Xenopus tropicalis: one gene and its partner. The main gene of each other region encodes a partner of the protein of the gene in region 2 in a complex. Links are inferred from orthologs where the notes say so. Each region holds a gene or a part of one and is shown on either strand. Other genes may lie near its edges. The genes, in order: kank1 and eif4a1.

Region 1 (3,817 bases), on a different chromosome or scaffold from region 2:
CACCATCAAGTCACTTACATTGTCTTCCAGGGCAGCATTGCAGCCATGCTGGGCCAGCAGCAGTTTGACAATCTCTACATGTCCATGTTCACTTGCACACATTAGTGCTGTGGAGCCTTCATCATCCTGGATATTGACATCAGCTCCGCATGCCAAAAGGGCTCTGACCATGTCTATGCGTCCATGACTGACAGCGAGCATCAGCGCAGTTTGGCCTGCCTGCAAACAGAAAATATATTTACATTATACGGGCATTGTAGGTTCCCTTTCCCAACTACATATACTGTATTTATGTATACTTATGCAACAGGATAGGGGGTTGTTGGGGAAAGAATTTATCAGGGAGCAGCAACAAAAAAGAATAGGTAATGAAATGATTTATGGTAGCCTTTATGCTGGCTGTGGCTACTTTTAAACAGATCTAAAAAATAAGGCTAGCATTTAACCCTTGTTACAAGGTAAACACCTAACAAGCTATAAAGTATCTGTTATACAGACCTGGCTAGCTTTGGCATTCACATCTCCTGAGCCAAAGAGCTCCTCCACTACCCCCATGTCCTTGGGTGCTTCCACAGCTGCAAGAGCAGCAAGCATTATGGGAGTGTAGCCAGCCTTGTTCTGCTGATTTACATTACACACATCTGCAAAGAAACCAAGCATTCTAGTGAAACATGAAGTCATCAGGCAAATCAAAGGCATGATTGTGCAGGGAAAATAAAGACGGTTATACAGGACATTTTAATACATGACAAATGCCATTTATTGCTATATAAATGAAATGGTATGTATCAAAAAAAAGTGACAGTGACTATAGCCCAAGACAAATAGCCCAACACAAATGTTTTGTTACACAAAAGACTATGGTGTTTTAATTTGCCAAGTAATCTTTACACTTTAGGGTGAAAAACACAGAGCAATTAGTTTCTTTGACTTTTTAAAAATAAATAGGGTAACACACAAGCCACAGTGACTAACCATACGTCATTTGCACTGGGCTTATTAGTCACAGCAACTTTTTAAAAAGCTGTGGCGACTATGTGATCTGATCACTAACTTGAAAGTGGAAAGACTAGATTCAACCTTTGAGTGGATAAGTCAAACAATATAGTGTTTTTTCCCATGTTTGCCTAATTCTATAAAACTAAGAATTCATAGGAAAAAAAACACTCATTTGTCTTACCTATACTGATCAGATCAGGCAAAAGTGGGTATACAGTTAAAAAAAGGAAAAAACAAAATGGGAAAAGTAAACAAAAAGTAATTTATCATTTCCCACTTACTAATGTAAGTAATAACACTGCACTACGACTCTTTTTCTCTTTATAAGGAGATACATTTTAGAAAATAGTAATATATTTTTAGGGCTGTAGGTTTTGACTTCCTGGATTACCTCTAGTAGAAAACTAACCTGCGTCCAACAGCAGCTTTACAATGTCAAAGTTGGAATGGGACACACTGTAATGAAGAGCTGTGTTGCCGTTGCCATCTGCCATATTTATGATGTAGCTTAAGACAGCAGGGGAAAGGTCCTTGAATGCAGTAATATAATCCTCCACCATGGGCGCCACTGCAGATTTCTGACTGGACACACGGAACCACTCATTTTGTACTGTGGTCAGACACAGCCTCTGCAATAATTAAAAGAAAAATCACTCTAATATAAACATATATTATACATATATATATATATATATCATTCTTTAGAAAGGTCTAGTATATGTGACCGAAATATCGATTTCGCACTAATAACCCCAGAAAGTCTTTGGGACTTCAACAAGGTCACAGGACCAGGGGGAAAGTATTTCACCTTTATATTATAGATTCCTTACTCATAGTTTAAAGCTTTGCAAGCCTCCTTATGCAGTAAGTGAAATTTGCACAGAGTTTGGAAATGATTTTCCTGGAAGTGAATAATGCACATTCCATACTCAATCTAATCATGGTAAATGTGATTATCCTCATATTATATGTTGAAGATCTGAACTGCTAGCTCTATGCAGTGCATATAAACCCAAAGGAAAGCACAGATGGTACCATTTATGGCTTAACATTAAAGGTGGCCATACACGTTACAATACACCATATACACACCAAATATCGTAGGAAACCTCATTCTATATGATAATATTGGTGCATGTATGACCAGCTTAAAAGGGTGATTTTTAGACAGAAGGAGGCATACAAAAATATCACTGAACAGCTGTGGGGCTGGGGGTGAATACAGAGTATGACCTTGCATACAACTTCTTGTTATAAGCAAACATCTTCTTTAGAAATAAACATAATTTGCTAGGTTCTGTTGGCTTTATGTAATAAAAGATTCTGAAAACTGAAATGAATGGCTAACATTTAGCATAATCCTATTATTACACAAAAAAAGGCTGACCCTTAATGTTCCCTAATGCTCCTCACTGCACAGAAGCCAAAGATATGCATGGCTAGCAGGAAGCCATGGTGCTGCTTGGAGCCTTTCAGAAAAGAATGAGGCTTTCTTACAGTCAGTACAGTACTGGCTCTGACATTGGTCTGTGGTCTCACATTGCCAGAGAAGGATGAATAAAAAGAACTGCCTTCAAATATTCAAAAATATGTGCCCAAATTAGACTAAATTATAAAGTACCATTGAGGGGAGCTTACCACATCCTTGTTTGCCAACGCCTTTGGATCGCTCACTGTGTCTTTCAGCACATTGCAAGCCGACAGCATCTTTTCACTCAGCTCGTATCTGTTAAAATTGCAGCGGTTCAGTTAATTACATTTCTGGCTTAAACCAACAATTCTTTTTGACATTCTCAGCCCAACCCAAACTAGAATTTTACTCTGTTTAAAACAAAAAAAAACCATTAACTCACACAATGCTGACAGAATTATTTTTACACAACTAGTAAAAATGTCATGATCATTCAATCTACAGGCTGACCCGTAACAAGAACTTTCTGCTGCACCTTGATAAACAAGGGGAAAAAAATGTATTTTCTTTAGTATAATTAGGAGCATAAAAATAAAATAACATGTTCCTATGTTCTGGGATGTCAAAGCAGAAAAGATATAATGGAGAAAGCATAACACAAGATATATCTGAAAGAGAATGTATGTAACACGCTGAACTATACAACTATTGTTACATCCATAAAATAAACTTCCACTCAATGGCTTGCTTTCTACAGTACAAACAATGGCAGTGACAAAAGCATGACATTCACTCAGCTGCTGTACTCTTTGTGTGCACCACCTGGCCACAGGAACTCTCTAAATAGCAGGTGTCACCTGTCTGTCACAATATGTTCTGTTCTTTTATGTCATTTGCCAGCAGTACAACAACCAAGCACAACAGCAGCTTTCGCATCTACGTGCCATCATAATACCTATACGTGAAAACACAATGTGTCCTATCTTCTGTTAAAATATATGAACATCTGAAATCTAAAGAAGTATAAATACCTCTTAGGGGATCTAAACCCATAGATATGAATTGGTGTTAACTTGCTTGTTGTGTTCCCCTGAGAACTTGTGCAGTTTACATTCATTGACTATTTTAAGTGGTTTCGGAGATATTAGCAGTTTTAGACTAATAGCAGGCTTGGCTCAACAGCATTTTTTTTTTCCTTTTTTTAAAGACAAGAGGTTCAGCAACACTAAGTGCTACATCTGACATGGAAGCTTCCATGTCTAAAGATTCTTAGCCCTTAGATCCACTTGGTTTGCTGCATGTAAACTGTTTTAAATGTGGCAACTGCAATGGATCCAGAGTGCTGAGAATTTTCATGTGATCTGTGAAAGGAGATTTCTCGAGGGCAAGAAAGCACCCTGTCTGTCA
Region 2 (3,594 bases):
TCAAGCCCAGTCTGTGCCACCCTGTATTTAGGGGCACTTTGCAAGCCTCACCCCTGTGCCCTAGTGACCCCCTAACCCCACATTGGCCTGAGTGCTGTGCCAGTCTGTGGGCCCCTGGTGGTGCCAGTGTGCTGGGGGGGTATTTCCGGTCCCACTAAGTACATGGAGCGGGCACAGTCCGGGGCATTAAGCTGCCGATGTGATTCATAGTGGCCCTTTAACTGCTGCGTTGCGCTTGGGCGTCATTTCACCTACTGCCTGTGACTCATGAGCCGTTGTACCTGCCCCCGTGCCGACTGTGTGACCTGAGCTTAATTGCCCTGTTTGTGTGGCATCAGCAGTTACACCGTGCCCAGCCTGCCCCCTCCTACCCGGGCACCTCACTGCGGCCAAATGGGGCTGCGTTATCCCCCAGTAACGTCCTGCAGGGGGGGCCATTACATCCCAGTGGGTGAGACTGCCGGCTCAGCGGGGCACCTCTTCGTAGCCAGTGGCAGATTGGGGCCTGCAGGGGGCGGGATTGGGCTATTTTAAGATGCTGTAATTCCAGCTGCTGAACTACACTTCCCAGCATGCTTTGAGGGACAAGGGAAAAGTAAGGAGAAATTCTGATGTGGACTGGTTACAGTAGGGAATGTGAGCCATGTGTAGATAGAGTGTAAGCTCTGTGGGGCAGTGTTTGTGGTGACATGATGGCACCGTCTCACAAGCGAGTCTGCCCCAGGCATATGGGGGGGCACATAGCCTGACAGTAAGTGCTTGTAGGGAGCGTGTGACTAAGCGCAGAGCAGGGAGCTGCCTGTAACAGAGCCTCTTTGTGGCGCTCGGCCCAGTCACGCCCACAATATATCTCCTCCCCTTCTGCATTCCTGCCCCCAGGTTTCGTTTCTCATCGGGGGGGGGTGGGGGGGGCAGCTGTGTATGGTATTATTGGGTGGCCCCCTGTCTGAGGGGAGCGTTGGTATAATCATGGCAGCTTCTCCCAAGGGGATAGTAATGTGGCCCAATCCTCCTGTGCCCTCTGTGGGCAGTAGCTGGCCCCTCTGTGGGCAGTAGCTGGCCCCTCTGTGGGCAGTAGCTGGCCCCTCTGTGGGCAGTAGCTGTGCCCTCTGTGGGCAGTAGCTGTGCCCTCTGTGGGCAGTAGCTGGCCCCTCTGTGGGCAGTAGCTGGCCCCTCTGTGGGCAGTAGCTGTGCCCTCTGTGGGCAGTAGCTGGCCCCTCTGTGGGCAGTAGCTGGCCCCTCTGTGGGCAGTAGCTGGCCCCTCTGTGGGCAGTAGCTGTGCCCTCTGTGGGCAGTAGCTGTGCCCTCTGTGGGCAGTAGCTGGCCCCTCTGTGGGCAGTAGCTGTGCCCTCTGTGGGCAGTAGCTGTGCCCTCTGTGGGCAGTAGCTGGCCCCTCTGTGGGCAGTAGCTGGCCCCTCTGTGGGCAGTAGCTGGCCCCTCTGTGGGCAGTAGCTGGGCCCCTCTGTGGGCAGTAGCTGTGCCCTCTGTGGGCAGTAGCTGTGCCCTCTGTGGGCAGTAGCTGTGCCCTCTGTGGGCAGTAGCTGTGCCCTCTGTGGGCAGTAGCTGTGCCCTCTGTGGGCAGTAGCTGTGCCCTCTGTGGGCAGTAGCTGTGCCCTCTGTGGGCAGTAGCTGGCCCCTCTGTGGGCAGTAGCTGGCCCCTCTGTGGGCAGATTGGTTACTCCTGTGTCCCCTTTCCAACGTTAACCCCTCACTCTCCCTCTTGTCATTTCCAGACCCAGAGACAATGGACCCGAAGGCATGGAGCCCGATGGGGTCATTGAGGTAATGTATCCAGTCTGAGTGGCCACTGGGGGTGGGGCGGTGGCCATTGGGGGTGCCCCATCAGGCACTAACTCCTCCCTCCCTTTGCAGAGCAATTGGAATGAAGTCGTTGATAGTTTTGATGACATGAGCCTATCAGAGTCTCTGCTTAGGGGTATTTACGCCTATGGCTTTGAGAAACCCTCAGCCATCCAGCAGCGAGCTATTATGCCTTGTATCAAGGGTAAGTATTGCCCCTTCTGCCCTGTCCTGTTTGTATAATGGGCTGTCATCTGCCCCGGCTCCCCCGTAACTTCCTGTAATGCCACTTGGTACATTCCCTTCACTGAGTTTACTAGTCCTATTGATACCCCACTTTGTGTGACTTGGGGTGAGTGATGTCATGTCTGTCACCCCTTTAGGTTATGATGTCATTGCTCAAGCACAGTCTGGAACTGGGAAAACTGCCACCTTTGCCATTTCCATTCTTCAACAGATAGAACTGGATATGAAAGCCACACAGGCCCTGGTGTTGGCACCAACCCGTGAGCTGGCCCAGCAGGTAAGTCCCGCCCCCTCAGGGTCCTTTTTGCCGTTAGTAATTCCTTCTACACAAACACTTTTCTACATTCATCCTGTGGCCAGAGCATTCCTTCTGCATATATCCAGGCTGCTGTGCCCAGAGCATTCCTTCTGCGTATATCCAGGCTGGTGTGCCCAGAGCATTCCTTCTGCATATATCCAGGCTGCTGTGCCCAGAGCATTCCTTCTGCATATATCCAGGCTGCTGTGCCCAGAGCATTCCTTCTGCATACATACAGGATGGTGTGCCCAGAGCATTCCTTCTGCTTATATACAGGATGGTGTGCCCAGAGCATTCCTTCTGCTTATATACAGGATGGTGTGCCCAGAGCATTCCTTCTGCTTATATACAGGATGGTGTGCCCAGAGCATTCCTTCTGCTTATATACAGGATGGTGTGCCCAGAGCATTCCTTCTGTGTGGGTATTTATTATAAATCTGTGACTGCTTGGGGGGCTACACAGTGCCATGTGATTGCAGTACCCCCTCCCAACTAATGCCTCTCACATTGGCCAATCGCTTGCCTGAATACTTAGCTGTACCTCTGCTTGTCTCCTCCCCTAGATCCAGAAAGTAGTTATGGCCCTCGGAGATTACATGGGTGCCTCTTGCCACGCCTGCATTGGGGGCACCAACGTAAGGGCCGAAGTACAGAAGCTGCAGTCAGAAGCCCCTCATATAGTTGTGGGCACCCCCGGCAGAGTGTTCGACATGTTAAACAGGCGTTACCTGTGTGAGTATCATGAGCCTGCCTCTGATTGGCTGGGATGTACAGGGCTCCCTCTGCTGGTGGAAGGGAAGGTTGCACTTGGGCGGTGGAACATTGAGCCCATTAGTGTGGAATGTTCTCTGTTTGGAATGAGGCTGTTTATGGGCGGTACCAGCACAGGCTTGTTGGGTTGGGCCACTAATTGCAGCGTAGTACAGAAGTGCTCAGGGACTTGGATTGTAAGCTCTGTGGGCCAGAGTGTGCGGTATTAATATGCTCACTACCCATCAGCAAAGAGGAATCTGCCATAGAAGTGCCTATAATGTGTAGCTCCACCCCCCGTCACTGGGCAAGGGCATGTCACGTGGCATCGCTGCTTATATCTGGCGGGGGCAGAGAAACCTCCCATATTCATCCCAGCGCTGTGCCCCCATGCCTGCTGGCTGGTTCATGCTGTGGGCACAAATGCCAGGAAGGGGGGATCCAGCTGTGAGTGGGGCGGAGCATACATTGAGTACGTTGTCGCGTGGCGCCAGTGCAGC

Evidence for each region.
Region 1: the proteins of eif4a1 (region 2) and kank1 are in contact, whole or in part, in a crystal structure (PDB 7DDX), measured with the Mus musculus proteins. The link is inferred for Xenopus tropicalis from reciprocal best matches to the Homo sapiens genes EIF4A1 and KANK1. Residues at the interface, in NP_659207.1 of Mus musculus: Lys99, Val140, Arg141, Val144, Gln145, Lys146, Leu147, Gln148, Met149, Glu150, Ala151, Arg168, Arg169, Tyr170, Ser172; in NP_852069.4 of Mus musculus: Gly1168, Asn1169, Asn1171, His1175, Tyr1176, Val1178, Asn1201, Lys1202, Ala1203, Tyr1205, Met1209, Leu1210, Leu1213, Ala1214, Ala1215, Gln1240, Ala1241, Leu1248, Ser1251, His1252, Arg1254, Asp1273, Glu1274, His1285.

What each region holds. Positions count from the first base shown.
Region 1 is NC_030677.2:128,764,617-128,768,433, forward strand, and holds part of kank1 (KN motif and ankyrin repeat domain-containing protein 1), read right to left. Parts: intron 2,726-3,817; coding exon 2,638-2,725; intron 1,629-2,637; coding exon 1,409-1,628; intron 642-1,408; coding exon 499-641; intron 220-498; coding exon 19-219; intron 1-18.
Region 2 is NC_030679.2:152,589,103-152,592,696, reverse strand, and holds part of eif4a1 (eukaryotic initiation factor 4A-I), read left to right. Parts: intron 1-1,733; coding exon 1,734-1,782; intron 1,783-1,872; coding exon 1,873-2,005; intron 2,006-2,183; coding exon 2,184-2,323; intron 2,324-2,907; coding exon 2,908-3,076; intron 3,077-3,594. UniProt on the Homo sapiens protein: ATP-dependent RNA helicase which is a subunit of the eIF4F complex involved in cap recognition and is required for mRNA binding to ribosome.